Medicago truncatula: one gene and its partner. The protein of the gene in region 2 interacts with the protein of the main gene of each other region in a biochemical or structural test. Links are inferred from orthologs where the notes say so. Each region holds a gene or a part of one and is shown on either strand. Other genes may lie near its edges. The genes, in order: two-component response regulator-like APRR9 and adagio protein 1.

Region 1 (16,237 bases), on a different chromosome or scaffold from region 2:
AGACCCCATAACTTTGTGGTTTCTCCTCTTCTCACCTTTGTTATCTTAAGACTCTCAATTTGCTCAAAATATATAAAAGGGGTAAACGACATATATTGTTTAGTTTAATTGGGAGATAATATAAAACTTCTGAAATTCTTGTTATGTCGGTTTTGTCTATATGTACATTTGGTTGAAGCAGGATCGGTCCTAAGACTTTTTTTATGACTAGGGCGAAATAATATTTTTAATCATTCCAATATTTTTGTTATTACATTTTTTGTTACAAAATATTTATTTATAATCAAAACAAATATATTTATATAGTATTAACTACTAAGTAAAAATAATAATTATAATGCCCTAAACAAATGGTGCCTTAGATTGCTGCCATTTCCGTCCACCCTCAGGGCCATCCCTGGGTTAAGGTTCCTAGTAATCAAACATACTATAGAGATCAATAAAATAGATTAAGTGTATTGTGAAAACACAAGCAAAGTAAACAAACTTGAAATATGATTGTTAAGAAGTACAAGCAATGAAATTGAAAAGCACTTACTTACACTTCAAACAACTTTTGGCACTGTTTTTTCCAAGGGGTCCCCTGATTGAGTGTATGTAATATTTGGCTCCTTGCATTTGTCCATTTTCTAAAGTACGTATTCTTTCTAATTTCTTCTTTAATTTTATCCACAAACTTAAAGTGCAGCAATTCTTTGAACGTGAGATTGAGTCCATAATTTTGAACTGCGCATTTCAAAATTTCAGGGGATAAGATCATTCAAGATATTAGCAAGTGAAGGAGATTTTTTTTATTTTATGAAAAAGGAATTGATTTTTATCTCCTGGCTTTTCTTATGCTAGCACTCTATTTAAAAATGGGGTGGCTCAATAATTGTTTTAAATTCACAAAGTTACATATTCTAAATTTTTTTAAGAAAAAAATATATGAAAATTACTTTCTGCAGGTGAGGATTTTGGTTTATTTTAGAAGTAAAAAAAAAAAAAAAAAACTTCTCATATTTTCCATACTATTATATTAATGTATATCAAAGAATCAATCAAGCAATAGAACATTCCAAAGACTTCCAGAATATTGATCAACGCAAATATCTTTTTACATCAAAAAAAATATCTTTAATTTGAAAAGATACATCTTTAAACTAAGTTAAGAGTGATACTGATAAGATCAAATTGAATTTACTCTTTAAATAATACTAGTGTGACATCTTCATCATGAACTTTAAAATGACTTCTTTTTTTAGGGGAACTTCAAAATAAATTGGCAAAGCCTTAAAAAGACATGCACATATTTTTAAAAATAATTGAAGTCCTAAAACATCAAGAAAAAGAGGAAGGATTTGTTCCAAAATATATTTTTTTCTTCCTGAATTTGAAATTCAAGTTGAAGAGTGTGTTGTTACATGATTGAATGTATTTAGTCATGTGCCAATAAAAATTTAGGTGAATAGTCTCACTCAAAGTTTTCATTGGGGCATGATATAAAGTTTCAAAGATTAGAGGAAGTTGAACTCTGTTTCTGTTGAACATGAATTTACTTCTTACTTACTAGACCAACCTCTATTCACTTTGTTCGAATTCGTTTATGAAAGAGTATAACTCTTTTTCATAATTGTTTCTTGTGATCAAGTAGTGCATTCTTCTCTGTATATAAAACAACTACACCATCCAATTAAGCTCATTCTGAATTTGATGCAGCCCTTATAAATAAGAAAGTTATTCTATGCGCCCCCACACTCCTCACAGGCCCCCAAAATTTTGAAAATGCCTCTGTAACTTCAGGGGGATCGGAAAATAACTTCCGATGCACCAAATTATGTTCCAAAAGAGTATGATTGTGAATTTACCAAGACTTCCCAACTTGTTTGTTCATCAATCTATCCGGTTCTTTGAATATCTAGTTGTTTTGAAATGTAGCACCAGCGTTCTATAATCAAAATATCGGATAGATTGATGAACAAACGGGTATGGCACTCAGATAGTAAATTAGAATATCTAGTCTCGATTTTAATAGTTATGAGCACAGATCGACTACCAGGGGCACATAGATCAACAAGCCTAACAAGTATTTGAGACTTGAGATATTGGAGAATTTGAAACTTGTTTCGCATAATTTGGAACTTGTTATACAAAACAAAACAAAAATTGGTATAAGAGTTGTACAAAACTTTGAATGAGAATATATTGTGTTGAACACTTGAACCATTTTGTAAGAAACTTGTTGGATAATTGATGTTGTATAATATTTTATCACCAATAAACAAAATACAATTAACCGGTTGCTGTAAACACAAACAGAGTCATACTAATATGATATTGTACAAGAAGCTCCAACATTACATGATAAATCAGCGAGACCTAATAAGTACACAAATCCTTAAAAAAAAAATTAAATAATGAGACACGACAATCTCTATAAAACTATATAAAATTACAACTGTATATCAGGTTATTATTAAATATATATCAGGATCTAGAGGAAAGGCAAAAAAAGAAAAATGGTTTTACACAGCATATACAGATCAAGTGGTTTTGGTACTTAAGAAGTCAAGGAAACAAAATTTTGAAGCAACTAATGCTAACAAAGCACACTATCCTCTCCACTAAGTCACATATCTGCTAATGTAATAATCAGTATTCTTAGCAATCTTTTTCTCCAGAAAGAGAATCAGGATTCGGTTGGCGAACAAATTGTCCTTTAACTCGAGGACGCTGCTCTGCTAGTTTCTTTCTGCTCTCATATCGAACCTGTTAAAAAGTATAAATAAGTTAGCATAATATGAAAACAATGATGATCATTGATCTTACTTGTATAATTACAAGCTCATATTGATGTTGATATTGATATACCTTCTTCTCATAACATCTCTCTTTTCGTTTCAAACGGAACTTGTTTAGAGCTGCTTCTCGTAGCATAGCTCGATGTGAATATCCACTGTTTGTGAGTTCTTCATTCTTTCCCTCTGAAACTGCTGCTGTTCTGAAAGTGGCAACTTGTTCAACATTGCCACTACTTCCACAATTACTTCCATAACCAATGCTGTTAAAATTGCTGGCATTTCCATTATTACAAAAACTACTGGATACACTTTGATCAGTTGTAGGGGAGATAAGTCTTTGATCCTCTGGATGTTCTGACTTGTGTTCCTGTGTATACATAATTTGGTTTGGAGTACTGTTTCCATTTGGACCGCGAGGTTCGTAAAGCTGCTCTGAATTATTTTGTTTAACATTTGACTGATAAAATGCATCTGCTTGAAAGTTTTGTTCGAGAAACACAACTGAACCGGGCATTGATGGTGGACCTGATTGTGTACGAAACCCTGGTGGAAGTGTTGAACCATAGGCCATACAAAGATCATTGAACCTTACACCTTTCACAGGAATTGGGAGAGAATGCCTTTGCTGGGAATGTGAAGTTGCAAGTTCAGATTCTTTTTGCATACTTGGTATTGAACTATCTGAGTTATGGTTCTCATTATTTGTTTTTTGTTCTCTTGGTTGATCAGAGAAGTTAATTACTACGGCAGGTGATGCTTGCAATTGCCTATTAGTATACCTGCATGAATGGAACACCGTTTCAGTGATAAGCATGCAGAATTCAACAGAGTGGAGAAGTCATAGAGACCACAAGTACAAAATTCATACACTTTCTATCTTCATCCTTATAATGTTCTGAAGTTCTTCAGACTCATCACTAAGATTACAACAATTTTTAACTACACGGAAAGGAAAAAATTAGAATAAAAAGGGATTTAGCAATTACCGCTTGAAAGCTGAAGCATTAGAATGCATAAGGGTGTGCCTTTCTTCGGTGAGATCCTTCTCAAAGTTGCTGGGATGAGAGCTTCTGAGAGAAAGATCCAACTGTGGAGAATGGTCAAACTTGCCTGTGCAATCAATTGATGAATTTTTGAGACTGCAATTCGGATCAGTACGAAATGCTCCAATCAAGTCAATAGCTTCCTTAGTAGTAGAGTAAATTTGAACATAGTGATTGTCATGAACCTCACCACTGATGCTAGCATTCCTAAAATGCTCTTGATCATCTCCGTCCTTGCAATTATTTGCACCTGTCTCTCCATTTTTACAGTTATTTGTGCTTGCCACTCCATTATTGCAGTTAGCCACGCTTAATCCTAAAAATAAAAGTTTGTTCAAATTTTAGATAGTTCTTCCTTGTGAGTCGAACAAAATGATATTGCTGTGAAAGAAAGAAATTTACCTCCGGCGTGACTGTCCTGCGCGATCACAGCCTGGCCTAAATGAATGTCAAGTTCTCGTGTCTTTATTTCACTTGGATATGCTTCCGCACATTTCAGCTGAGAAAATTCATGCATGTTATCAACCAGGCCACTCTCAGCTTCCATGTTTGGCCTTGTACAAGAGCTCTGTGCGTCACTTCCTTTCTCAATTAAGTCCTTATTCCTTTGAATGCAAGCAGCATCACCACCAGAACGATTACTAGCAGCGTTGTTTTCAGCAGTGGCTTCAAACTTCTGTTGTGTATCACTTTCATCTTGAGGGCCATTTATGCCAGCGGTTGCGGCTGACTGCTGATAGAGTAAACAAATAATAAACATAAGTTCAACCAATTTTGTTAATAAATTCTTAGTATTTTAGGGAAAAACTGAAAACGAACTGAAAATTGAGAGAGCAGAAGTCCTACTGTTTGTCTTCTCCAAACATGTTGCCACAAATTCCTTAGTTCATTTATTCGAATTGGCTTAACAAGATAGTCAGCTGCACCTCTCAACATGCATTTGTATACTGTGCTAACTGAATCTTGCGACGACATCACTGGAAAAGCATGAAAAAAATACAAAACAATTAATATAAGTATTAATAAGGAAAAAAATTGACAAGCAGAAAGAAAATTTATCTTTAATATCATACTTATGACAGGGATGCTTTTGCAAATATCATGCTCCATAATTAATGTGAGAAGTGCATAGCCGGATATGGCTGGCAAATCGACTTCTGTAAGTATTAGATCAATACTGCGCGGTCTTCCTTTGAGTATTTCCCATGCCTTCAAGCCATCAGCAACAGCAGCAACTGCTCAAAACAGATCAAAGTTATTTTGAAGTTCTAGAGCTTAGATTTACTTTCAAGTACACTAATTTTGTTTTTCAAATTACAACACAACCAAGATAAAAAAACTCAATAATATAAAATCATAATGGCAGATAAAAATTGAAAATAAATTGAATAATTGTACCAAGTTTATGGCTTAGCCTAGTAATTTCCATACTGCTATAAGACTCTATTTCAAGGTGCCATAAATTCCTAAGATTTTCAGCTAACAAAATCCATGTCACTTTAAACCAAGTTGCTTGGGCTCCAATGGCAAGGAGCTCCTTCCAAGGACGTATCCGGGGAATACCGGGTTCGATTCCCGGGGGGAACAACGCTTGGCAAGTGCCCATGCCTCTACGCATGAGCCGGATTAGTCGCTCACCAGTGGGTCGGAAACCGGTGCAAAAGCCAAAAAAAAAATCCATGTCACTTCTCTGTAAAAAAATCTACATGATTTTTTACATTTTTTCTCATGAGTTAAAATTTATCAAACCATATTAAAAACAAAATGTCTTCAATTAATTAGTGCACACAAATTTTGTTTTCCATCCCCTTAATTTTTATCTTTATTTATTAAATCAGCAAAATCTACAAATCTATCAGTACACCCTTGAGCCTTGATCCTTTCCAAAATTTGCAGTCCAAAAACTTCTAAATTTATAATTACTAGTAAGCTTTTTCCCCCTGTTTTTGTCATGTGTCAAATATATACTCTTAATTAACAACAACTCAGCCTCAATATAACCCAATATTCACAATTAATTAAATCAAAGTTTACACTAAAAAAATATGAATTTGCACACAAGAAAAATTGAAAATTGAGAATACTTACAGAAAATTAAATAACCAATTAAACACAAAACAATATTACAAAAACATCAGCTTGTACAATAAAATAATAATAATAATAATAGAAATAGTACCTTTATAGTTGCATTTTCTAAGAAGTGCTGTTATAATCTGTCTTGTACAATCATCAGCTTCAACCAAAAGCACCCTCAAAACCATTTTTGGCAAGAATTTCTCCCACCTCATAAGCCCTTTCATTTCACCACCACCACCAGCACCTCTACTCTCAGTTCCTCCGCTCCCTTCTTCTTCCCTCACCTTCTCTTCTTCTTCTTCCACTCTCACTATTTTCTCACCACTCATTACAACCTCACCCATGTTGTTGTTTATTGGATCCAAAGACAAGAATCAGCGTATAGCATCAGAATCTTTGTTCAAGAAAACAAAACCTTAGCACACAACAAAAATATCCAATTTGGAAGGTGAAAAATAAAAGAAAGTAAGAAGAAAGAAAAAAAGCAATATATTGTATATATATGGATATTGTACAAGATTTTTTAAGGTAATAGAGTTTGATCTAATGGTACAGATTGTGACACCAAAGGTAACAAGGTTCTAATCCAACGGTTATAAAATATATTCTTTTAGCACAAAATATCTAGAAACCATGCAGACACTGGCCCACATGGTCCACGTCATCAACTAGATCTATAAAGAAATAAACCCGTGGTTGGTGCTGCTGTATTAGTGGTGGATATCATTTCAATCACTCATTTATTCAATTTATTCAAACTATTTTTGTGCTTTAATTGTTTGGTTATAACTTTCTCTTGAATTCCAAGTTGTGTCCAAATGGAAAATATCAAGGGGATATTTTTGTATGAGGGACAATTCGGAATGCACATGGACCCATTTGGAGAAAGATATTAATTTTTTTAATCCAAAAAAATGAAGATATTTTTGAGTGCTTTGAGGCTGTCCAAGAATCCCATGGACAATAGTGATACACGTGGCAATTTAGTTGAGGATGTCTTGTTTTGTGGCTTTGAAGTCGTCGAACTCTATCTATGTCTTCACAAATCACATGCTGCGGGCAGATGTTGGCTACTCGCTCTTTTATAGGTCAATATATATCATCTATCAAAATTTGACTTGCAAAATAGTAAAAGAAGTGATAACATGTGTTATTAATTCTCGTCATATATCACATACTTGATAAAGACAATGCATAATATACGTAAAGTCATGTTAACCAGTGTCCGGGTTAAGGAAACCGAAAAAAGTAAGTTTTAAGATAAAAATAACATTTTTTATGTTTTTGAAAACTTGACAACGCAAGTTCCAATGCAATACTTACTACATTTCACTTCTTAACCAGTGTGTCGGAGGCACCGATTAACATTACCTATGTATGTATGGAAGGGTCAGAATTTGAATGTTAGACTCATTTATTTTTTAGTCATCAGATCATCCAACAAAAAAACTCATGATAAGAAATTTGAAGTGAAAATTTCATTTTAGAAATTGTGTCTATTTATCTTTTAAAAAGTTGTAATTTATTTTTTCCCAATAAATAATGTTATTGGAAATCGAACTTAACTCAAAATTTTCTTATGCTTTTGTCCCAAACGAAGTTAAATATTTAAGATTGTTGCCAAAATTATAGAAGCATGTGTGAAAGGAAAAAAAAAAACAATTGAAAAACAATGAGAAACATGCTGAGGAAACCCAAGAGATGGAAATGGATACTTTTCAAACGAAAGCAAGTTTTTATGTTATGTTAGTTGAGAGATGGAAATGGAAATGGAAATGGATACTATCAAAGGGAAAAGTTAGTTGATTTGTTGAGGTTTAAAAAACAATGTATCAAATGATGGTAAAGGATCTCAAATAAGAAGTTCATCAACAGTTAGTAAAGGCTTTTTTATATACAAGTGCCACTCCTTTCAATTATAATAGTAATGTGGAGTTTGCAAGAATTGTCTGAGATGATTGAAACGTATAATTGACTACAAAAGCTTAAAAGAAGATTCGGTGATCAAATAAGTTCAAATTGAGAACCGGCCATTTGATTTAATTCAGATTCAAATTGAAATAAATTGAGTACTCAAATGAGCACAATTGGTACATCTTGTATGAAGTTTCATCAGGTTAATCTGTTCAGAGACTCATACATATTTTTGTGACAGCATCAATTTATGGATACCATAAAAAAGATGCTCGATACAGGTGGAAAAAAACTCAAATGAGTAGTTGACTAGCATATATATAAAATGCTTTAGTTAAGCAGCGAGGAGCCTGTTTGGATAAGCTTATTTTGAGCTTATACAAAACAGCTTATACAAAAATAAGCTTTTATATATTATTTACAAGTTTGTTAAGGTATTTTGTGAAAAAAAAAAACAGTTTATGAAGATAAAATTCTCGTTAGTAAGAGCTTATAAATTAAAATAAAAACTTAATTATTTACATAAATCATTTTTCATAAACACAAAATAAGCTAAATCCAAACCGGCCCTAAGGGAGGCGATCTCTCAGTATACAAATGGATTACATAGACCCGAACTTCGTGTTAATGCTAATAATCCCTTGTAAAATAGATTTGTACACATCATAATTACTTTTTTTTGTCATGTATGTGACAACATTTTTTCAATTGATATGATGCCATGTTTCACACCTATTGTTCTGTTTTATTTTCTCAAACCATTTCAATATGATAGAAACAAATTATTGATTAAAAATTTCGAACAAGAAACTGGGACGAGAACGGTGACACCACTTGCACCATTGACATTAATACATAAGAAATATTATGATTATGAGTTCAAACTCTCGTAATTGATGTAAAATAAAAATAAAAAAACTTGCCGGTGCTATCATGTACTCCCTCTGTCCCTATATCTAATAACCCTTTTATTAGAGGCAAAGGATGCTTACATATAGGAACGGATACATTAATACATAAGAAATATTATGATTATGAGTTCAAACTCACTGCTAGTATCGTAATTGATGTAAAATAAAAATAAAAAAACTTGTCGGTGCTATCATGTACTCCCTCCGTCCCTATATCTAAAAACCCTTTTATTAGAGGCAAAGGGTGCTTACATATAGGGACGGATGGAGTATAAACCAAAGTGAAAATTTCCAGCATGACCAAAAGAACGCAAATTGGTAATTCGCTTGCATGATAGTAGTTTGATAAATTACTTTGGCCAACAACATATCAGTCAAAAGGAAGCCTATATTACATTTAGTTTCATGAGCTCTTCTCACGTACACACTAACTAACTTCTGTTTAGATAATTTTAACAACGCATTTCAATAATGCATTCAAACATAACTAGCACTAAAGTCCACATCAATACGTACTCGATTCCAACCATGTTAGAGATGTCACAAGGCCTATATTTACTTGTTTCACGAACGTTTGGGAAGTGTATATGGCACATGCTTATCCTCACAAATAGCCTGAAAATGGGCATATAAGAAAATAAATAAATAAATAAATAAACAAAGTTCAACATACAACAGTAATTCAGTGTAAACTGTTCGATAGGCTGATACAAGAGAAAGGCAAAAAAAAATGTTTTTTGTGTATCAGGCAGCTTTGCACAAATGTGAGCAAAACTTTTATTTTGTTATACAAGTTGAGCAACACTGACTTCTTCATACTTCATAATAGAACAAACAACTGATTGCAAAAATAACCTAATCTTAGTTGCCATGGCCAAACATTATAACCACTTGAGCATTTAATGAAAATCTCAACTCAGAAGGCAACGGTGTTTCACATAACACATCCTGTGTGTTTAGAGCTTCCCTAAATTTTTAACACCTTTGCAAAAGACAAAGAATAAACTGCCAACTATTTTATATCCGACCAGGTAAATTAATGGATAAAAGCACAGCCTAGGGGGAAATCCCCAAAAAAAAATACTTAAAGTTAAATTATGGTTTTTGAGAGAGTGGCATAAAAAAAGAGGTGCACAATCTTATACTTGAAAAGAGACAACTATGTAATAACAAAAACAAAGTCCCTTATCAAAAATAATAGTAATGTATGCTGAATCTATATTACACAAATAGAAAAATACAAACCTGCATATCGTCTGGAAGAGCCTCTGAGACAGCAAGAGTGTAAACACCAGGAACAAATTTTCCTGCAACATATAAGAAAAACTTTAATTTCCACATCTCAGTTGTGTGCAAGATTTCAAACTTCAATCTAGATAGAGATTCTAAAAAAGAAAAATTAAACGGCACTTCACAGTTGAAAGAAAAAAATAAACAAAGAAGATAAACTTCAAATGAAAAAAACACCACAACAATTTCTCTATCTCTATAATAATATACACATTTAGCTCACACAAATGAAAATTCTCTCCAGGTGCCACTCACTAAATTACATCACCAGTTTTTAATTCAGAGGTACTAATTTACATGTTTTGAATCAACCCCAATCTCTTTCTCTGGCACCATTCTTTATAACAAAAAAGGAAAAGCTTCTCACTTGCTCGTTTTTTTTTTTCAAAATTCAAATTTAACTGGTACAATTTATATCACATTCCTCTTCTATCCATCTCTTTGCTCTCCGCCCATCTCTCACTCCTCTGCTCAGTGCCCATCTTCCATAATCAAAACATTGTATAACCTACATCTAAAACGTAGCCTCTTCTTCAAAACAGACTAAGAAAATGGGGTTCTTGACTGTAAATGGAAAATCTTAACAGCAACTAAGGTTTATGATTTTGACTGTGACTCTTTATTTCTATATAGATTTCAATTGTGACTTTGTGATTTTCTGCAGCTGTAGACATTGTGTGAGCTTTATTGTAGCCGGGCTTAGATGGCATGTACTCTATCCTTGTCTTAACATATGAACAAATCGCTGTCTCCACATTCTCATCTCAACTTTCCTGAAATGATGAAATTGTGAGATTGACGGCGAATGACTAACTCTTTAGTCTTTTTCTTCTCATTTTAGTGCTAATTGTGAGATTGTATGTAAGTTCATTTGATTTGGATTTAATTTGATACTCAAAATGTGCACTCACAGGGTGTTTTTGAAAATGTCTTACAACAGGAAATGGAGGGAAAATGTAAACAGCCAAGCATGAAGCTTTCAAATGATATGCTTTTATATTGTTTATGCTTTTTTTTTCCTTTGAATGTATAGACATGTTTAAGGAGTTTGTCAGATACAACCACTAAATGTTTATATACTCCTTCCTTATTAGACATTATTGGCAAAATCTTTGAATGTGATTTCATGTTAGAATTTGGGCAGAGCTTACAAAACTGGCTTGTAAGGTGAGGGGTGTCAGTCTATATACTAATGATCTAGGATAGCTCTAATACCATAATAAGTACTAGAGATTTCTGCCATCAAGAACGATGAGAATAATATGGAAAATTACTGGACTTAAAAACCAGAGGATCTTAAGACTGCAAGGGTGCACGAATAGAAAAACAGAGACGGTAGCTTCAGACAATGAGTGAAGAGCAAGGGTTTGCTGGATAGAATTGATAAAGACTCTGCATCAGACAAACGACCTCGAAAACAGGTTGAAGAGGCGCCCACGAGATGACCTGAACCGACAGCTTCTTGATCAAAACGATTTACGACGGCAAGTGGCCAATACGTGCCGAAAAGTCTGACGGATTGTTATGGCGAGTGGGAACTTCTTCGGCGACGAAACTTCAGAGGGTGACAGATCAGAGCCTTATAGTGACAAAGCCACCACGTGTGTCTAGTGTAGTGGGTGGCAGACCAGACTTTAAAAGAAAATTAAAAAGTATAACTAGCGTGACCAAGCTTTGAATACGATCTTGAATGAATTGCTTATGAGTATCAGAAATCTCATAAATTAACACCACGAGAGTATATAACGTACTATTCACCTAAACATTAAACAGTACTTTAATCTTCGTCAGCTAGAATAAATTTCATAATTAAATTTTGTATTCCTCTTTCTAGGACCTTACTTGAACCCTTTAACCAAAAGGTTGAAACTGCAAAGCATTACCATAACTCAACACATGTAATACATTGATTTGGTTGTGGTTGAGTTGCAATTTGATACTCATAGTATATGCACCATAACAAGAAGATGTGAATGCGAGACAGCAGTAAGTGGAATGCTTTTGAATAATCACTTTGTGATTACCAATTCGTTCAACGGCATTCGACATAATGTTGTTTCTCATATATGCTTCTTATAAGGATATCAAATTGCAACTCAACCACAATCAAAGTTAATGTTTTGTAGTTTCTACCTTTTAGTTAAATGGTCAAGTAAGGTCCAAGAAGGAGGAAGAGTGCAAAATTTAATTATGAAACTTATTACCATATATAAGTATTATTCAATGTTTAGGTGAATAGTATGTTGTTTACACTCATGGTGTTTAAAAGGAGTTAAAGAACATTCTACTCACTTAAACATTCCACGTAACTTAATTTTTGTTAGTTACAAATAAATTTCATAATTAAATCTTGCATTCCTCTTTCTAGGACCTTACTTGAACCCTTTAACCAAAAGGTTGAAACTGCAAGGCATTACCACAACTCAACACATGTAATCCATAAATTTGGTTGTGGTTGAGTTGCAATTTGGTATCCATAGTAGACGTGAATGAGAGACAACGATATGTAGAATGTTTTTGAATAATGACTTTGTGATTGCCAATTCGTACAACGGCATTCCACATAATGCTGTCTCCCATTCGTATCTGCTTCTAAAGTAGTGCATCTACTATGGATATCAAATTGCAACTCAACCACAATCAAAGTTATGGATTACATGTGTTGGAGTTATGGTAATGTTTTGTAGTTTCTACATTTTGGCTAAAAGATCGAGTAAGGGCCTGGAAGGAGGAAGAATACGAAATTTAATAATGAAATTTGTAATTGTTATTGACAAAAATTAAGTATTATTTAATGTTTAGGTTAATAGTATGTTCTCTACTCTTGTGGTGTTAATTTATGAGGTTTTTGGTATCTCATAAGCAACCCAAACAATTGATTTAAAAAAATATAAAATTAATTTTGTTAAATAACTACTATGAATGGAAAACATGGAATTGGTAGCACAACATTTGCTTTAGCTTTTTGTAATGAAGGTTATGTCTGCATCGATCTAGAAAAGGTGTGTATGTTGATCTCTATGTACTAAGTTAAACCTAGAAAAAGTGTGTATTCTGATCTCTACATAAAAAGTTTGATCATGCTATTCTTAATATCAATATGTATTGTCGAGATTAACCACATCCAATATGTTTTGTAAATGTCTTGCAAAAACTACTATACTAACTAAAGACCATATAGTAGTATCAAAAAACTAAAGACCATATTGTGTTTTACAATATCGTTTTCTTTACCTATTGTTGTTGCAATTTTTCTATAATGTAAAATAATGAATTCTAATTTGGTATTAACTGTGAGAAACTTAAATTTATATCGCTATTTGATGTTATCTCATGAATTTGTTTAGACTTATTCATGTAATTTTAAATAATTGTTCAGTTTTTTATTGTTACTATGTTAGTAATCGTAGAGTATCACCCATCCATTTGCACGGGTGTATGACTAGTTGTATATTGCAAAGTAATGCTATCATCATAATACTGTAAAGGGAAAGAGAACTAAAAGGCAATGGGCAAGACATATTATAATAAGCATTACAATAGATAAATGGACATACCAATGCGCAACCAACGGGCGGCCCAGCTTCGAGTTGGATCCATTACAGAAATGATCCTGAAAATCAAAATGAAGAAGAAAACATGACATTCAGAAGCTTCAAAGGTGATTAGGGTTTTGATGTAAATAGATATGACACGGACATACCCATTAAAATTGGGGGTGGTGCATTCAACAGCACGCTCTTGATCTTCTTCCATCTGTAAAAATGGGCAGTTCTCACATCCTGACTCCCTAAACTGCAAATCAGAAAACAGGGATTATTTTTATTTATGTAAAACAAAATCAGTGTATGTTTGGCTATGCGGTGACTAAAATTGAATTTGAGTGTATTGATTCTGTAAAATTGATTGTTAAAAGCGAGTTGAAGGTAAAAGTAATTGAACAAAAAATTTGTATAAAAATCAATTCTATGATCAAACGCTACAAATTATAGCTTCAAGTAGAATTGATTCTACTTGACCGCAACCAAAAATGTCAGAATCAATTATAGACCTCTAGAATAAATTGGGCACCCTGAGAGGAGAACCAAACATATACTAAGACTAGTGAGAGAAAAGGAAGGACAGTAAGACCTGATCGTAGGTTTTGACAAGGCGGCAACGAAGACAAGCCCTCAATTCATGTCCAAAGCTTGTAGGGATTTGAGCAGGTGCACTTGCCATTGTTTTTCAACACACTGTTTGAACTGATTGTTAGATAAGAAAAAAAACAAAAATTATAATAAGAAGCGAAATTCCAATAATCTCTCTTAATTAATATAAGAAGAGAAGATGTTGTGGAAATCCTATTAATGCCCCAGCCTGGTTAATTGACAAATCACCAAAGTAAGGGTAAAATCTGTCTTTAACTTACTTTATTCAACCAAATTACCACAATTAACTAAGATGATGTCATATAACTACAAATAACTAATAGTTTAGTTCATTTGCTCTTCATAAAGTCATTTCCATTTGATGCCAACTAAATAAATCCGATTAGTTATACAAAATATATTCATTAGTTATACAAAAAAGCAAATAAGAAGAGATAGAGGGATGAGCAGCTGATTCTGAGAGTGAGAGAATTGAGAATATGGTTTAGTATCAGTTTGGTTTTATTTTTTTAAATATATATATATATATATATATATATATAACGACGTGTTTTTTTACAAGATATAAAAACGTGTTGTTACATTAATTAATGAATATTAAAATTTATTTATTTTTTATATTCATAAAAACATAAGATAAATATATTTCATTGTTACATAAAAATAACGGTAAAACATTGATCGTTTGATACGTACAACATATCAAAGAGAGTCGTAGAAAAAGAGTGATGTGTATAGATTTGAAGTGAGGCAGTAATAGACGAGGTATAAATAGTTAAGAGACAAGTTTTAAAAAAGATTGATAAAATATATTATACAAGGGTCAACTCATCACTTCAGAATTTTAAAATAATTGTTGTAAACGAGACAAGTTGTCACTTCGCAAAATTTTTAAAAAATTATTATAAACAAGACATACTGATATAAATTTTAAAATAAGTATTGAACATATTTTGGTAGTGGTCGGAGTTTGAACCCCGGACCTTTGGATATATTATGCATTATCCAAACCAACCAAGTTAAGCTCACGAGGACATAAGTATTGAACATATGATTTGTCATCTCATCACTGATATATATTATAAAATAATTATTATACACGAGACAAGAGATACATTGATATATATTATTAAACATTATTCTTCTTCCTTCAAAAAAACATTATTCTCCTTTTTTTTCAAACCATAACGTAAGTGAAAAACTAACTTAAAAAAATAATAGAATTATACGCAGCATTTGTTATCATTGAGTATAAATTCAAAATAATTATAACACAAAGAGACAAGTTTTAGCCGATATGAATTTTAAGATAATTATTAACCATGTCACATGTCATCACTGATAGATAGATATATATATATATATATATATATATATATATATTATAAAATATTTATTATACATGAAACAAGTTGTTATTGTTAACTTAAAAAAAACTTTAATAATTATTATTAAGGCGAAATTGTCACTGATACAAATCTACTAACATCTACTTCTTCTAACAATATCTAAAAAACGAAGTCCAGCAAAATAAATAAATTAATCTATAGTTATCAGTGGAAATTAGTTATACACGACCATTGTCTGTAATTAATTTTTTTAAAAAAATTAGTACATAATAAACAAGTTGTCGCTCATATAAATTTCAAAATAATTATTAACCATGTGACATGTCATCACTTATATATATTATAAAATATTTTTGTAGGGATTATATTGTAAAATATTTATTATACACGAAATAAGTTGTCATTGTTAACTTTAAAAATTATTATTATACATGGGCGAAGTCGTCGCTAATATCTACTTTTTTTAGGGGGACCGATACAAATTTACTAACATCTACTTCTACTAACAATATATATATATATAATCGAAGTCCTTCAAAATTTCATAACTGTCCTTATTAAAATTCACTATCTTCTTAATTTCATGTGTTAACTTTAAAAGATTTATTATACACGAAACAAGTTGTCACTGTTAACTTTAAAAATTATTATTATACACGGACGAAGTCGTTACTGATACAAATCTACTAACATATACTTCTACTAATAATTATTTTTATA
Region 2 (16,306 bases):
ACTACAAATAAAATAAGATGACATCATTAAAGTGACATCACCAAGATGACATCACATGCCAACCTTCTTCCATTTTGCTTCAAACTTGATCTCCAAGCTACAATTTTGCCTTGAGCTCCAAGTGTCCCAACTTCTATAAATAAAAGGAGTTTTGGAGAGAAAAAGAGGAGAAAAAATGGAAAAGTTTTAGATAGAGAAAAAAATCAGCAACACACCAATACAATTTTTTTTAGTCTTAGCATGTTTCTTTTCTTCATCATCAACAACACAACCACCACTCAAATCAACATAAAACCACCATAAATTAACACAAAAAACACCATCACTACCAAAAACAAAACAACCCTCATCTTTTGTCTTTCTCTTATTCTTCCTATAAAAGGTATATCATCTTCCCTTTTTCTCTTTCCTCTTTCTTCTATTTTTCTCTTCCTTCTTTCCTATTTCCCCTCTCGCTATCTTTTTTCATTTATTTTACACTAAATACACACATCTTAATCCAGAGTGCTCTGGTCCTAAACTAACTTTTAATATTATATTGTTGTTTAATTTATTTATTCTCCATAACAATTTGGTCCTTATTAATTCAATTAATCCAGAGTGCTCTGGTCCTAACCAAATCTTAATATTAACTTACAATTAAGTTAAATCACTCTTCAGAATAATCTGGTCCTAATTAATAATTAAATTAATCCATAGTTTTCTGGTCCAAAATATATCAGTGATATTGTTCTACTTTTTTTTTTTATCTTTATATTTCTCTAGAATATATCAGATTTAACTCCGGCGCTGTGGCGCCACCGTGATAACTCGCCGGCCACCGCGCCGGATTTCTTTCCAACCACCCATTCCATCGTTTTTTTAGAAGATAAGTAGAGAGAGAAGAGAGATTTTTTTTGGAAAGTAAAAGGAGAAGAGAGAGAATGAATTTTTAAAATGAATAAAAAACCGTCCACAACCTATATATACTACTAAACCGAACTGGTTCGGCCTTTAAACCGATCTGAACCGGCCTAAAACCGACCATGAGGCCCAACGCGCGCCTCTGTCATCTTACAAAGCCCAATTTCTTTTTTTCATTACTGCACCCCCTTGTTACTGTTTATACCCCCTTGCATCTCATCTTTTTTTTTATTCATGCATTTTAATTTCTTTTTGCATTTCTATTTTGCCTCGCATTTCATTTTCTTTATTAGTTTAAAGTCATCGTCTTACATTCTATTCACTCATGCATTTTAATTTTCGTCATTTTATTTTTACTCAAGAATTAGAATGTACTTAGGGCCAATGTACAATATAAATGAAAAAAAGTGTGTGCGTGTGTGTGCGCGCACGTGTGTCTTTTATTTTCTTTACCGCTTTATATATAAAAAAAATGCAAAAAAATTAGGTTAGGGATTATGTGGTGATTCAACGTCACTACAGAAATTCACGCGCTTTTATTTTTATTGCTCCGTCAGTCTAATTTTCATTCATTATTCAAAAACAACAAAAACATTCAAATAACAAAAATCACAAAAATATTTTCATAATAAACCTTAATTTTCAATCAAGTGATCGTTATTTTTATTTTTCTTAATCAAACTTTCAATCAATTTAATTCAACTTTGAGTCAATTTTCTTCAATATTAAAAACACAAACCAATTCTTATTTGCCACTTGGCCTTTTATTTTAAAACTTTTTCAAAGACTAATAAAAAACACAAAACCAATCAAACGTCAATTTCTACCCCGAAGTACGAGGTTTTGATCCCTCACGGGTACATAGGCAAAGGACCATGTCCTTCCAAATCAACTAAAATCGATTTTCTTTTTCTTTTTAACTCATCATTCAATTCTATTTTCATCTCTTTAAAAACAAACAAGTTATAGCACAAAAGTTGAATAAAATCAAGAGGTTCTCGTAGAATACTACGAATATTTAGGGTGCTAATACCTTCCCTAAATATACCCAACCCCCGAACCCTTAATCTTAAAAATGTGGTATTTGAACCTTTTTCCACTTTCTTTTGAAAAAAAATTAAAAGTTCAGTCGGGAAATAAAAATAGCGAGTTTATGCTAATAAAATAGCTTGATCTCCGAAAAATGACGCGACATGTGTCAACAGAAGCAAAGCTTATAGGGCAAAGAATTTGGCAGCTGAATTTGTGGAAGGTAGCTTTAGAGATCAATATAGAAGGTTACATGACTATGACAAAGAATTACTTAGATCCAACACAGAATCTTCTGTATCCATTACTAGCACCCCTTATGTAGGTACTGAGGCTGACATAGAGAATCCTAATGCCATAGTTTGTCCTCACTTTCAGAGAATGTATGTGTGTTTTAAGGGGTTTAGGGATAATTTCTTCAACTGCAGACCCATTATTTGTTTGGATGGGTGTTTTCTTAAGACCCCTTATGGTGGAATGTTATTGGCTGCAATTGGAATGGATCCTAATGACCAAATACTTCCAATTGCATATGCTCTTGTGGAAGGAGAGACTAAAGAATCATGGGAATGGTTTTTGGAGCTTCTCATAGCTGATTTTGGTGGCACCAGACTGCGCAAAACTTATACTATAATAAGTGATCAGCAAAAGGTAAACTAACTATTCATTTTTCTTTAATATGTTCAATTACTTGTCTTTAATTGCATAAATTAATTTTAAGTGTTGTTTTTTTGAAATGTATTATGTTAAACAGGGACCTTTGCTAGCAATTGATAAATTGCTTCCTGGAGTTGAGCAGAGGTTTTGTGTCAGACACCTCTACAACAACTTTAGGAAGAGATTTCTTGGGAAAAAGCTGAAAGAGTTAATGTGGAGGGCTGCAAAGGCAACCTACAGAAATGCATTTGAGAGGGAAATGATGGAATCAAGAAGATTAGTGAGGAAGCTTTTAAGTATCTGTGTGAAATTGAACCAAGGCATCGAACTAAGGCAATGTTCAAGGGTGATACAAAGTGTGACACACTAGTGAATAACATATCAGAGGCCTTCAATTCTGTTATTGTTGTTCCAAGGTCCAAGCCAGTTGTATCTATGTTGAAGGATATTAGAGTGTATGTCATGTAAAGGTGACAGATCAATAGGGAGAAAATTGCTAAGTATGCTGACGGTGAAGTTCTGCCAAATATCAAGAAAAAGCTAGAAAAGGAATCTTCTTATACCAATAATTGGTAAGTCAGGTATTAATATAATGATAAAGAATCTTGATTTTTAATTCATCTGGTGATATTTAAATTGCATAATGTAACCATCTTGTTAATCTTAATGTAGGCAAAGTGGAGATCATGATTTCCAAGTTATATATATGTCAAGCACTGGAGACAAGTATGATGTCAACTTGTTGGACAAAGTGTGTGATTGTAGGAAATGGTTGTTGACAGGACTACCATTTTGTCATGCCATTTCTTGCATGAAACACAAAAATTATAGGATAGCTGACTATGTGCCATCAATTTTAAAAAAAGAGCAATATGCTGCATGTTATTCCAGCATCATTTTCCCTATCAATGGCCAAGATCGACAGACTGCACTGACCTTCAACCACCACTTGTGAAAAGCCAACCAGGGAGACCTAAAAAGAAGAGGAGAATGGATACAAGTGAGCTGATGAGAGATAACTTACAAATGAAGTGAGCTTCTTATGAGATTAAATGTAGTAGGTGCAAGCAAACTGGACACAACAAGTCAACGTGCCCACCACCTCCACCACCATCATCTCAGTCACAATCATCTCAGCCACACCTTGCACATGCTTCTCATCAACAAGCTTCTCAGTCACAGACACACTAATTTCAACCAAATATACAGAAGAAAATTAGATCACCTAGGAGGAGAAAGACTGTGAATGTGTCTCAAACACCATCTCAGACACAAGCATCTTTGACACAAGCTTCTCAGTCAAAGGCACACCCAGCTCAGACACAATCATCTCAACCACCAATTCAGAAAAAATTTGAGATCACCAAGGAAAAGAAAGTATGTGAATGTGTCTGATGTTGCTGCAACTCAACCAACACAAAAGAAAGGAAAGAAGATGTCAAGGAAGGCAGGATTTTCATCTCAGCCTTAGAAATTAAGCATTAGAAGTCTTTTTGAATGTAATATGCACTATTAAGCACTTTTGAATGTCTTTTTGGTTAACTGGTATTAAGTAGTCTTTTTGAATGTAATATGTGCTATTGACTGATATTAAGCACACTTCACTTTGTTTTTGGTGTTCAATGTGTATGCACTTTTTAACTGTCAAGCACTTAGTGTTGTAACATTGCAACTAGTTTGATTAATTATGTGTTGTAATTGCACTTATGAATTTAATGGAATGATGTGCTATTAGGCACTTTTGCATCTTATAATTTGGAAATGTTATAATACAGCTTCTGTTATAGCATTATACAACTCAACTTAATTGTTCCTGTTATACCATTATGCAACTCAACATGCTTAAAATGAACATCAACAATGCACAATTCATTCAAACTATTGCATTCATTCATCATACTCAACACTTTACATTCATTCATCAAACACATTACATCCATTATGTTATAATCAACCTAAACATTACATTCATAACAAAACCAACTAATTCACTCATCCACTCAAATTACAAAGTTGTTCCTAAAATTCAAAATACATCATTGTTCCTATTTCAAATAAAATCCACTCAAAATGGATGTGGTTTTGCAAACTAAGAGTTAATAGGTCTTTATCCCCTGCAATATAGGTCACTTTTGGTTTTCACCCCTGTAAATTTTTTTTGTCAGATTCCGTCCTTGTAATTTTTTTTGTTTTGAAAAAACCCCCTAGGCTAGCTGACTGTGCATTTTTGCTGATGTGACACGCTGAGTCACCGTTTTCTGATGACGTGGCACACTAACTGTATAATTTTTATTTTGTACACGTGGCATTTGTTATTTTTTTTTTAAAAAAACGAAAAAAAATGCTGAAAAAATAAAAAAATACCGGAAAAAAAATTAAAATAAAAAAACGAAAAAATCTAGAAAAATAAAAAATAAAAAAAATCAGATAAACTTTTTTTATTTTTCCAGATTTTTTTTACTTTTTCCGGTATTTTATCAGATTTTTTTTTATTTTTATAAACTTTTCTAGAATTTTTCTATTTTTTAAATTTTTTTCCAGTATTTTTTCAGCATTTGTTTTCATTCTTATTAATTTTTTTTTAAAAAAAATCACAAATGCCACGTGTGCACAATAAAAAATAAAAAATAAATAAAAATTATACACTCAGCGTGCCACATCAGCGAAAATGCACAGTTAGCTGTCCCATGGGGTTTTCCAAAACAAAAAAAATTTACAAGGACGGAATCTGACAAAAAAAATTTACATGGGGGAAAACCAAAAGTGACCTATATTGTAGGGGGATAAAGACCTATTAATCCTTTTGTTTTTCAATGAACAAATCTCTTTCATCCATAACATCATCTTCATCAACTAACTTAAAGTAGCTGCATCCTTTGTCACTCGAATTCCTGTAGTTTCTACAACACCATAATTTCTTCCCAAAATTACGATTCAATGCATCAGTTACAGTTTGAATTACAACTGTTTCTCCACACCTACGATTTGGTACTACCCTTCTTCTCAAATTAGACCCAACATATCCAAATGCATATGATTGTTCATGAACTTACTGAGTTTTTGATGTCTGGTTCGACATTTTAGGTGAAGGTGTTGTGTGGTTCGAAATTCTGGGTGAAAATATGGAGAATGAAGAAGAAAAAGAATGGTGGAAGAAGGAGAAGGAAGGTCACGATGGAGAAGAAGAGGAATAATGAAAGAGGAAAAAAAACCCTAATTTTCACCAATCTTTCCCCTTTTATATTGCTGACAAGGTTTGCCATGTAATCTAATGATAGGCCCACGTGGAGAGCATACTTGGACAAAGTTAACGTTTTTTGTAAAAAACTAACAGAAGGAACCAACTGGGTAAACAGAGGTAAAATTATGGGACCAAATTGAGATAGTTTAAAGTTAAGGGACTAAAATGAAATTCAAAAATAAGTTAAGGGACCAAAACATGAATTAAGCCATACAGTAATTATTCTTTTAAAATTTAAAAGGAGTGAATACCCAAATTCGTCCCTGGATTTGCACGAATCGGCCAAAAACGTCCCCCAATTAGTCGAAATGCACGCTTAGTCCCTGAATTTAACAAACGTCAATCAAATTAGTCCTTCCGTCCAAATGCACCGTTAGTGGTGCTGAGTTGTCTTCCTGCATGACTTGTTGTCTTGTACACGTGTACAAGGACGAATTTGATTGAAACACACAAAATTTCAATTGTACTTTTGAATTCAATTTTTCCTGCTTTTCCAAATTTACCCTTGTAATATCTATACCTTTTCATGATCACATTTCAGCCATTCCATCAAAAACATCCCTGACCGTTCTTCTTCCCCCCTAACCCTTCATCATCTTCATCAACATCATCTCCGGCGAGGAACGTTGCAAAAGAATCAGTTTTGATAGAAGATTTCGTCATTTCAAAAGGTAACGCCGTTCCTGTTTGTTTTCCATGCTTGGTTGACCCTTGGATCATATAGGGCAACTTATAACTACTTTATCCAACTAGTGAATTCTCAAATATATTGGGAACCAACTCCTTATGAAAAACCTGTGCCACCAAAGGTGAGAAGGGCTGCAGGAAGACCAAAGAAGAACAGGAGAAAAGATGGCAATGAGAAACCTGTTGGTGGGAGTCAAATGAAGAGGACTTACAATGACACTCAATGTGGAAGGTGTGGATTGATTGGTCATAACTTAAGAGGATGTAATAAGCAAGGTGTTGCTAGGAGACCAAAAAATTGGATTGATACTGAGCCAGAAGAGGAAAATGTTGGAGAGAATGCAGAAAATGTTGGAAATGTACCAGGAAATGCAGAAAATCACGTTGCTGAAAATGGTGGAGGTGCTGCAGAAAATGTTGGAAATGTTAATCCTGGACATGTTGTAGCTGGAAATGATGGACAAGCTGCACAAAATGCCAGTGTTGGAAATGTTGCAATTCAGGGACAAAATGATGTCAATGGTGTTGCAAATGAAGCAGTGCTTAGACAGGTATGAATGTTAGATTCTAAAGATCGATTTTCTAGTAAGTGTAGAAATTCAGGGACTAATTTGATTGAATTTTTTATTAAATAGGGACTGATATGATTGAAATTGTTGTTGCAGTGTGTTCCTGCAAAGAGGTATGGCATTAGAGGTCCAGTTATTTCAAATGAGAGACCTAAGCAAACACCAGTGAGGGGTCCTGCACCTGACATTGTTCGAGTGCCATATCCAAGTTATGGTCCATCCGGTTCAAGTCAACCTATGTTCATGGAGTTTATCCCAACCCCCGGCTTTCCAAAGAAGTGAAGCTTGATGCATGCTTAGATTGTGCTTTTTGGAATATTTTGCTTTGTTTACATTATGCCCTCTAGTTGGGTTCTTTTTGTCTATGTAATATTTAAAAACATCCTTTATGACTTATGACTTATGAGATATGACTTATAGTTGAGTTGTTTTTGCCTATGTAATATTTCAAACTTCAGAGATATGACTTATTTAATGATATTTTCAAGGATGAAGTTGTGTGTTTTGTCATTTTTAATTCGTTTGCTGCAAATATATGCATCAAGGATCAACTTGGAAATATGTTTATATAATTCAAGGACTTATTTGACGTTTTTTTGAAATAATTCAGGATCAATTTGATAGCAAGTAAAAATTAATAGGGACTGTATTAGAAAATATTTTTTGAAATCAATCAATTTCGTCCTTGAATTTTTTTGTCATTATACATCAATTTAGTCGCTGCTTATGTGGCGTCTGACATGGCATCCCGTCTGAGATGTTAACAACCACGTCATCACCGTTAACGCCCCAAATGGACGTAGGGACTAATTTGATTGACGTTTGTTAAATTCAGGGACTAAGCGTGCATTTCGACTAATTGGGGGACATTTTTGGCCGATTCGTGCAAATCCAGGGACGAATTTGGGTATTCACTCAATTTAAAAGTTTTCAATTTTCAATGCATTGATTACACAAACTTTTATAAAAAGTTACAGTACTATTTAAAATCCTTAACCAGTGCTCCGGGGCGGAGGCACTAGTTAACATTTCCTCTTTTGAAATTTCGATACATTAACAAACTATTAGGGGGCGTTTGTTTTTGGGAAACACAAATTATTCCCAGGAATAACATACCCGGGAATGAAAATATTAAAATTTGATTCTTGGGTATTTGTTAAAAAAAGTGTTTGACAAATAACTTGACATTTCTGGAAAAATTGGAAGTTACAATTTTTTTTTTAAATCTATGCATAATATCATGGGAATGCACATTCCCATCTCTTTACATGAGAATATATTCATGGGAATAATGGAAGTTATGGGAAGTTACTCCATTCCCAGGAACCTTTATACCCAGGAATATTTTTTTCTCAACCTCATAACAAACATGGGTATAATCATTCCCTAGCCATGTATTCCCGGAAATGTCATTCTTAACCTTGAAACAAACACTCCCTTATAGTTATTCATTACATGTTGGACTTACCCGGGAAGAATAACCATTATGTTGAGATATTTGTAAGCAAAGAAAAGAAAGGCGGTGAGTACCCACTGTCCATGTTAAACTCCATCCATACAGCCCACATGTTAAAAACGAAACTAAACACAGTCATCTTTTTTCATTTTCCCCTCAAACAAACCTGTCTTAACCCTCCACCCTTTTTCTTACCCTATTATTCCTCTCCACTCATTTTTCCTCTTCTCAATCTCCATTTTCCACTACTAACACAATCAACACTTATTACTACATCAATCACAATTCACACGTATTCTCAATTTCCAACACCAATTCCAAAACGCACCGTTTCATTCATCATCTTCATCTTCATCTTCATCCCTATGGGTTGAACCTGAACTTGAACTTTAACACAATCGATTCAATTTCCCGATGGAGTGGGACAGTAATTCCGATCTAAGTGGAGACGAAGACGACGCCGTTTCATCCTCTTTTCTCCTAAACGACGACGTTGGACCACTTCCTTTCCCTGTTCTTCAAACCGCACCGTGTGGCTTCGTCGTCACCGATGCACTCGATCCTGATCACCCTATTATCTACGTCAACGCCGTTTTTGAGATGCTTACTGGTTATCGCGCTGAAGAAGTTCTCGGTCGTAACTGGTACGTCCTTTATTCTATTATTCTTATTTTTTTTTTATTTAATTTAATTTTGGATTAATTAATTATTTGCTTTATTTAGTGATGCTTTTGTTTAGGTTTAGGTTTAGTTTTGTGATTTTGTATTTTTACTTTTTTTTTTATATGTTTGATTGAAACCCTAGGTTTTAGTACCTTTTTTGTGTGTTGTAAAATTGTTCAAATTAGAAATCTTTTCATTTCTTCAATTGTTGAAATCTGTACCGGGAATTTGATTATGTGGTTTGGTGGTAGTTATTTTAACTGCTAGAGTTGCAATAAGTATATTTTTGGTAAAAAATAGCGAACAACGGATTAACTAGCTTATAACAGATAACTGATAAGCTGACTTGTAGCTGATAGTGGATAAACTAGCTGATTGAATTTGTAATGTTTGGTAAAATTAAGATTAGAAGGGTAAAATTGAGATAAATAATGATAAGCTATAAGCTACTTGAATTAGCTTATCAAAAAGCGCGGTAAGCTAGTGAAAGTGACAATTACCAAACTGGTCTTTTTTAGTCAAATGAGCCTATAAGACATAAACTATAAGCTACAAAACGGGTCTTGCCAAACAGACCCTTTAGCTACTGTAGATTCCTTAAATGGATGTCAATTACCTCGAGGGGATTAGTTTCTGCAGTTGCATACAGAAGACATCTTTTGTTTACCAAAATAAAAGATTTTGTGTAATAGAAAATGTTGGTGGTGGGAATTATGAAGCACTGGCACATACACGGACATCTGACATGATATTGGTAATAATTTGAGAAAATGGAAGTGATTGAATGTAAACATATGGGTTAAGGTTGTTTTGGTGTCGGGGACTGAAGATGCCTTTATCTGAAGTGTCGGTGTTATGTCTTTTTATCTAACTTCTACCGAAACTTCTCTTTATTAAAAAATTGTTGGTTATGAGTGGTGATTGCTTCTGATGTTTATTGCTACAAGTGAGTGCCGAGTAGTGAGAGGAAATATGGTTGTGCAATATGTTTTTTGATAGGATGTGTTTTGTATTAGCTTTAGTTGGGAGTAATATGGCAAGTAGTATTAAGTTTGAGTTGTTGACAATCTTTGGAACCATGGGTGAAGAAGATATGCGACACGTCGACTAAATTTGTAGGACATAAACTAGAGTCAGACACCAATGTTTTTGAAGTTAGTTTTATCGTTTGGGACAAAATAAAATACTATCATCTATTTAATCGTGGTATCCGACTTGTATTGATTTAAAAATTCAAAAAATTTATAGGTAAGAAATATCCAAAAAAACATGAGGTGTTTTATACATTGTACAACACATACCTGACATTGATCTGCAACCATTTTAAAGCATTGATGCTTCCCAGATAAACAATATCTAGGTTCTGTAGTATATTGTGGAAGTTGTTATAATTTCTCTATTTAGGAGCACTGTCATTGGAGAAGAAGTATAACTGAGTTCAATACTTTGATGGACTATAGATAATAATTTCTTAAGGCTTTGTTTGGGAGTTTGGAGGGGAGGGGAAGGAAAGGCTTTGGGGGGAGAGAAATATAGGGGAAAATTGAGAAATCTTTCACATTTTTTGAAAGAGTATTTTTTTAGAGAGTGATAAATTAATGCTTATGATTAATGTTTTTAATTTTATGAATATTATACCTATATTAAATTTGAAGAATTCATATAAACCCTCCAAAATCCTCCTCCAATACAATTTTTTAGTTCCCCCAACTGAGGAGGGTTTTATATTTTGAAGAAAAATAAGCCCTCCAAAGCCCCTCCTTCCAATGTCCTCCATTTCTTCCACTTGCTCCTTCCTTTTTCCAAGCCTTTCCTTCCCTTCCTCTCCAAACTTGCAAACAAAGCTTAAATAGCTCTAGTGTGATTTATAAGTCACCAAGGTGACAATTTACGCTTCTAAAAATGTATGCCCTGTTCTGTTAACGTTACATCATAGGAATTTAAAAACTAATTTCTACCATAAACCTGTGGAACTTGAGAAAACTCAATGAGCCAACTAAGAAAACCCTACAACCTACGAAACTCAGTGTTCATCCTAACCTCACCCAAAATCTTTGTTTAGATCTCACATCTGATTAGTTATATCACCAAAACATTTCTTATAAGAACCTGAGCAATCTTTATCCTTTGAGTTAGCTTTTTGAGTTGAATTAGGCCCAGATTTTATATGATACTAAAATCTACACCAAATCTGATATCAGGTCACCTGTAGATGTCCAGTGTTACAAACTTCACACTCTAGAGATATCTTGTCCTGGCCATGAGTAGCGTGTGTTAAGATCCTAGACTGACTAAGGAAGTATATTCAAACCTCTCTTACTAAAGACTTGAGCAATCCTCAACTCTGGAGGCAGTCTTTGGGGTCAAGTTTGGCCAAGATTCTGAACTTTATCGACTCGGATATTACTCCAAACTCCATCACAATTTGCGAATGCTTATCAAGCCTTCATTGTAGCCTCAAACAAAATCAGAAAGCTCTTCTACTGATCATCCACTCCCACAACAGGGAATATCCAGATACAAGGAGCATAAACTAAACCCTTCCCAAAAAAAAAAAAAAATAATTTTTTTTTAGTCATTCCAACCTCAGTGATTCCCCTCACAGATAGACTATAAACAAAACCATAATTTGGTAGAGCACTAATCCATTTGATACAGAATGGCATTCCCTTTGATCAAGGACTGCACTGCACTGGTAAACTTCAATCCCAAACCGCTGGTCCTCATCTGTCTATCTATGAATTTGCTGTTCGTCCATCTTGAACACCCAAATCAGATACATGACTAGACTCCAGATGCATCATCTTGTTATCACCATCTCACAAGTCACAACCCATGGAAGCCACTGAAACTCAGATGTACCAAGCATCTGACATCAACCTAGATACTATTTGCTGCAATCAGAAGTCAGAACCAATGGACTTGGACTGGAGGTTTGTGAACATGTTTGTCAAGGATTCTGGTGATTGCATAATGCTTTTGGGTCTTGAGTTGGGTACTATAGTCTGTTGAGAGGAACAACGCTCTAGGTTCTGGATGTTGATTTTTCCCCCTACATGATTCTCGTGTACTTAAATTAGAAAGAGGATCTGAGATTGAGAAGAGATAGAGTGAATGAACGAGGAGATTTTGTATTCGGGATTTCTTAGGTAAGGTGGTTAGAAGGCTTAGGGTGTAGTATTCTGGTTTTGAGGTTGAAGATTTTTTTCCTTCAGTTAGTGGTTTGAATAGAAGTTAGGAGAAGGGTTTATGACCTCAATTTTGGGAAGGGAAATAGGCACTTGAGTTGGTTACTTTCAAGTTTGAACCACATAAGGCGTATTTGCAGATGACCTATAGTTTGAGGGAGTTATTTTCATTTTAACTAAAAGGAAAATAAGATAGTTGATGTGGTATTGATAATTTGATCGAGACCATTAATAAAATTGGCGTATGTTAAATGTAGGATGCGAGACTGTTGGGAACCCATAAATTGTATTGAATGAAAAAGACAATTTCATTATGAAAATAGAAAAGAATAGGAGAGAAAACTCTCCTCCAAGGCCCCCCCTTCAACAATAGAATTCCAACTCTATTTACAGAAGTTTACAATATTCAATGATACCCTCTCTAATTCCATAACCTCCCTATTAATAAGACAAGATAATCCCAATTACCTAATTAACTAATAACTTTCCTAACTAACTCCTTATCTCATACCCTAACATACTTGTCCTTATCCAATATCCTAACAACACACCCCTCCTCAAAACAACCTTGTCCTCAAGGCTGCAATCTACTAGAAAAAATTCTTCAGGTTGAATGGTTTTTGTAAACAAAAATCATTCCTCCAGGATCCATTGTTGAGAAGATAAATATTTATTTGAACTGTTGGATAACTGCTTTACAATGTTGAATGGTTTTTGTAAACAAAAATCATTCCTCCAGGATTCATTGTTGAGAAGATAAATATTTATTTGAACTGTTGGATAACTGCTTTACAATGTTGCAATAGTTTCTACTGTCACTCCCTTGGGTTTCGGTTAGCTTGTTAATTCCTTTGAACAACAACTGAAAATCGCCTATATCCATGAGAATTACAGTGAATGCAGTTGCGTTGAGCTTGGACCACACCACAACAATTTGCTTTTAGCTTGTTCTTCTGTCTTTATCTTCTTTTTCCTTTTTTTTTTCTCCAGTCTTTCCTTTTATTAAACCTAGGTAGTCAATGGTGGCATTTTGCATCGTGATTGCACTGGTGCGGCGTGGAACAGTGACTGGCCGCCACTGTGAGGCCTGGTGTGTCACACATAAAGGGTACAGGCGTTACTAGGGAGTTCATGGCACATCAAACCACGCCAGGGAGGGAGGGAGGGGAAGGAGATAAAAGAAAGATTCTGGTCTGATCTACATTTTTTTGGACACAAATATCTAGGTTTTCTGGCCACCACTCATGTTTTGCTGCTTTTTGAAGCTGCTGCACCTGTCAGAGACACCATTTAAGTCCGGAAGGCCCACTGCAAAAAAAGCACAATCGATTAAATTGCGCCTTTCATCCCTTAGTTTTTTACAATAAAATAGTAGCAGTAGTAAACCAATAATAAAATAACACAATGAATCTCATTAAAACTATACTGCTTCACAAAATATTTAACAGTCAAATTTAAATCAATAATCAGATAAAGAAGTTATATATATATATATATATATATATATATATAATTACGTGTATGTGTGTAATTTTTTTGGCATATATCACATATGCACCAATAATATGGAGGTTGTTTTCTTTCATGATTGACTAAGCTTAATGAATTTTATTCGTGGGATTTTTATTTACCTATCCCTCTTCACTTCAATGTGAGAATTTTACTGATTTAAACGACACCCTGCATTGATGCAATGGCTCTTGCTCACTTGTGCTTATGCAAAATGACCTAGCAGCAGCATCATTATTGTATAATGTTATGATTATATGAATTCCTTGAAGGATGTGATCTTAGGTTGTATCATACTAGAATGTTGTTGATAATTAAGAGGAGATATTTAGCGATAATTTGTGTTTGGTTGTGTGAAATGTGAAGTCATTAAGAATGATCGACTTTATTTTTTTTGTTCTTAATAATAATGGCGGGTTTGGGTTTACTTGTATTATGCTAAAGATTGATTCAAAACTGATCCAAGTTTCACAGCTAAGAAGCGCACATAGTTTCTTCACAGCAATTCATCTGTAGATTCATTTTCTCCCTCATCTTCCTTCTACAGTTTTTTTTTTTTGTTCACACAAAGAGATGCAAAGAAGGGCCAAATGCTGAGGGGTAGTTGTGGTGTTAAAACAGAATTTACTTTATTAAATCTTACCTTGTAGCTCATTGGGACTGAGGTGGTTTAGCAGTTTGTGTATATGTTATAATTTGAAATGATGTTCTTCAGGCAGTAAAATGAATAACCTCTGCCCTGCATCAAGGAAATAATGGAAAGAAAAGAAGGCAAAAGAACACTATATTTGAAAAAATAAGCAATACTGTTGTCCCTTTGTAACATACCACACTTGATTGAGTCTCTATTGTTTGGTGCTTAATCCAATGTGCAATTATTCTAATCACACTTGATTGGAAGTTTGTGTAGACAGAAGCCTATGTCTATGTTATGATTTTGAAGTAATTTTCTTAAGGTAGTAGAATGAATAATCTGTGCACGCATCAAGTAATAATGGAAAGAAAAGAAGGCAATCGAGCACTCTTTATGAAACATTACATGTTGTGCCTTTGTAACATTTCCATGCTTGATTGAGTCTCTCTTGTTTGGTGCTTAATCCAATGTGGGTTTATTCTAATCATTTAAAATTATTTTGCAGCCGTTTCTTGCAGTGTCGAGGTCCATTCGCTAAGAGAAGGCATCCATTGGTGGACTCATCAGTAATTTCAGAAATTAGAAAATGTATTGACGAAGGTGTTGAATTTCAAGGTGAATTGCTGAACTTCAGGAAAGATGGATCTCCGCTTATGAACAGACTGAGGTTGACACCTATATATGGAGAAGATGATGAAATAACACATGTCATTGGAATTCAGTTATTCACAGAGGCAAACATTGATCTTGGTCCTCTTCCCGGTTCTACAATTAAGGAATCTCTTAAATCGTCTGGTCGGTTTCACTCGGTGCTTTCCTCATTGCAACCTCCTCCATTGGGGGATCGGAATGTGAGTCGTGGAATATGTGGGATATTTCAATTGAGTGATGAGGTATTGTCTCTCAAGATCCTTGCTCGCTTAACTCCAAGAGACATTGCATCGGTTAGTTCTGTTTGTACGCGATTGTATGAAGTAACAAGAAATGAAGACCTTTGGAGAATGGTATGCCAAAATGCATGGGGTAGTGAAACTACTCGTGTTTTGGAGACTGTTCCTGGTGCAAAGAGGCTTGGATGGGGTCGATTAGCAAGGGAACTGACCACTCTTGAAGCAGCAGCATGGAGGAAACTGACTGTTGGAGGTGGGGTTGAACCCTCACGCTGCAATTTTAGTGCTTGTGCAGTTGGAAATAGAGTTGTCCTATTTGGTGGTGAAGGGGTTAATATGCAACCCATGAATGACACCTTTGTATTGGATCTCAATTCTAATAATCCTGAATGGCAACATGTCCAGGTTAGCTCACCTCCCCCTGGTCGGTGGGGCCACACACTTTCTTGTGTTAATGGTTCTCGTTTGGTTGTATTTGGAGGCTGTGGAACACAGGGCTTGCTAAATGATGTGTTTGTTCTGGACTTGGATGCAACCCCTCCAACTTGGCGTGAAATTTCTGGATTGGCACCTCCGCTTCCAAGATCATGGCATAGCTCCTGTACTCTTGATGGTACTAAGTTGATAGTTTCCGGCGGCTGTGCTGATTCTGGAGTACTTTTGAGTGATACTTTCCTCCTTGATATGTCAATGGAAAACCCTGTCTGGAGGGAGATACCAGTCACATGGACACCGCCTTCCCGTTTGGGCCACACACTATCTGTTTATGGTGGTAGGAAAATTCTGATGTTTGGGGGTCTGGCCAAGAGTGGGCCCTTGCGTTTCCGGTCAAGTGATGTGTTCACGATGGATTTAAGTGAGGACGAACCATGCTGGAGAT

The links.
Region 1: the proteins of adagio protein 1 (region 2) and two-component response regulator-like APRR9 form a complex in vitro, tested with the Arabidopsis thaliana proteins (3 studies listed by BioGRID). The link is inferred for Medicago truncatula from reciprocal best matches to the Arabidopsis thaliana genes ZTL and PRR5.

What each region holds. Positions count from the first base shown.
Region 1 is NC_053044.1:45,862,703-45,878,939, reverse strand, and holds two-component response regulator-like APRR9, read right to left. Parts: upstream 6,384-16,237; 5' UTR 6,247-6,383; coding exon 6,003-6,246; intron 5,059-6,002; coding exon 4,897-5,058; intron 4,801-4,896; coding exon 4,670-4,800; intron 4,557-4,669; coding exon 4,226-4,556; intron 4,140-4,225; coding exon 3,767-4,139; intron 3,560-3,766; coding exon 2,851-3,559; intron 2,749-2,850; coding exon 2,641-2,748; 3' UTR 2,267-2,640; downstream 1-2,266. Other genes in the region: transcription elongation factor SPT4 homolog 2, read right to left, coding at 9,292-9,342, 9,973-10,034, 13,575-13,630, 13,721-13,812, 14,149-14,238. UniProt on the Arabidopsis thaliana protein: Transcriptional repressor of CCA1 and LHY, thereby controlling photoperiodic flowering response. Involved in the positive and negative feedback loops of the circadian clock. With RVE8, forms a negative feedback loop of the circadian clock.
Region 2 is NC_053043.1:15,928,258-15,944,563, reverse strand, and holds the start of adagio protein 1, read left to right. Parts: upstream 1-8,646; 5' UTR 8,647-8,956; coding exon 8,957-9,186; intron 9,187-15,041; coding exon 15,042-16,306. UniProt on the Arabidopsis thaliana protein: Component of an E3 ubiquitin ligase complex that plays a central role in blue light-dependent circadian cycles.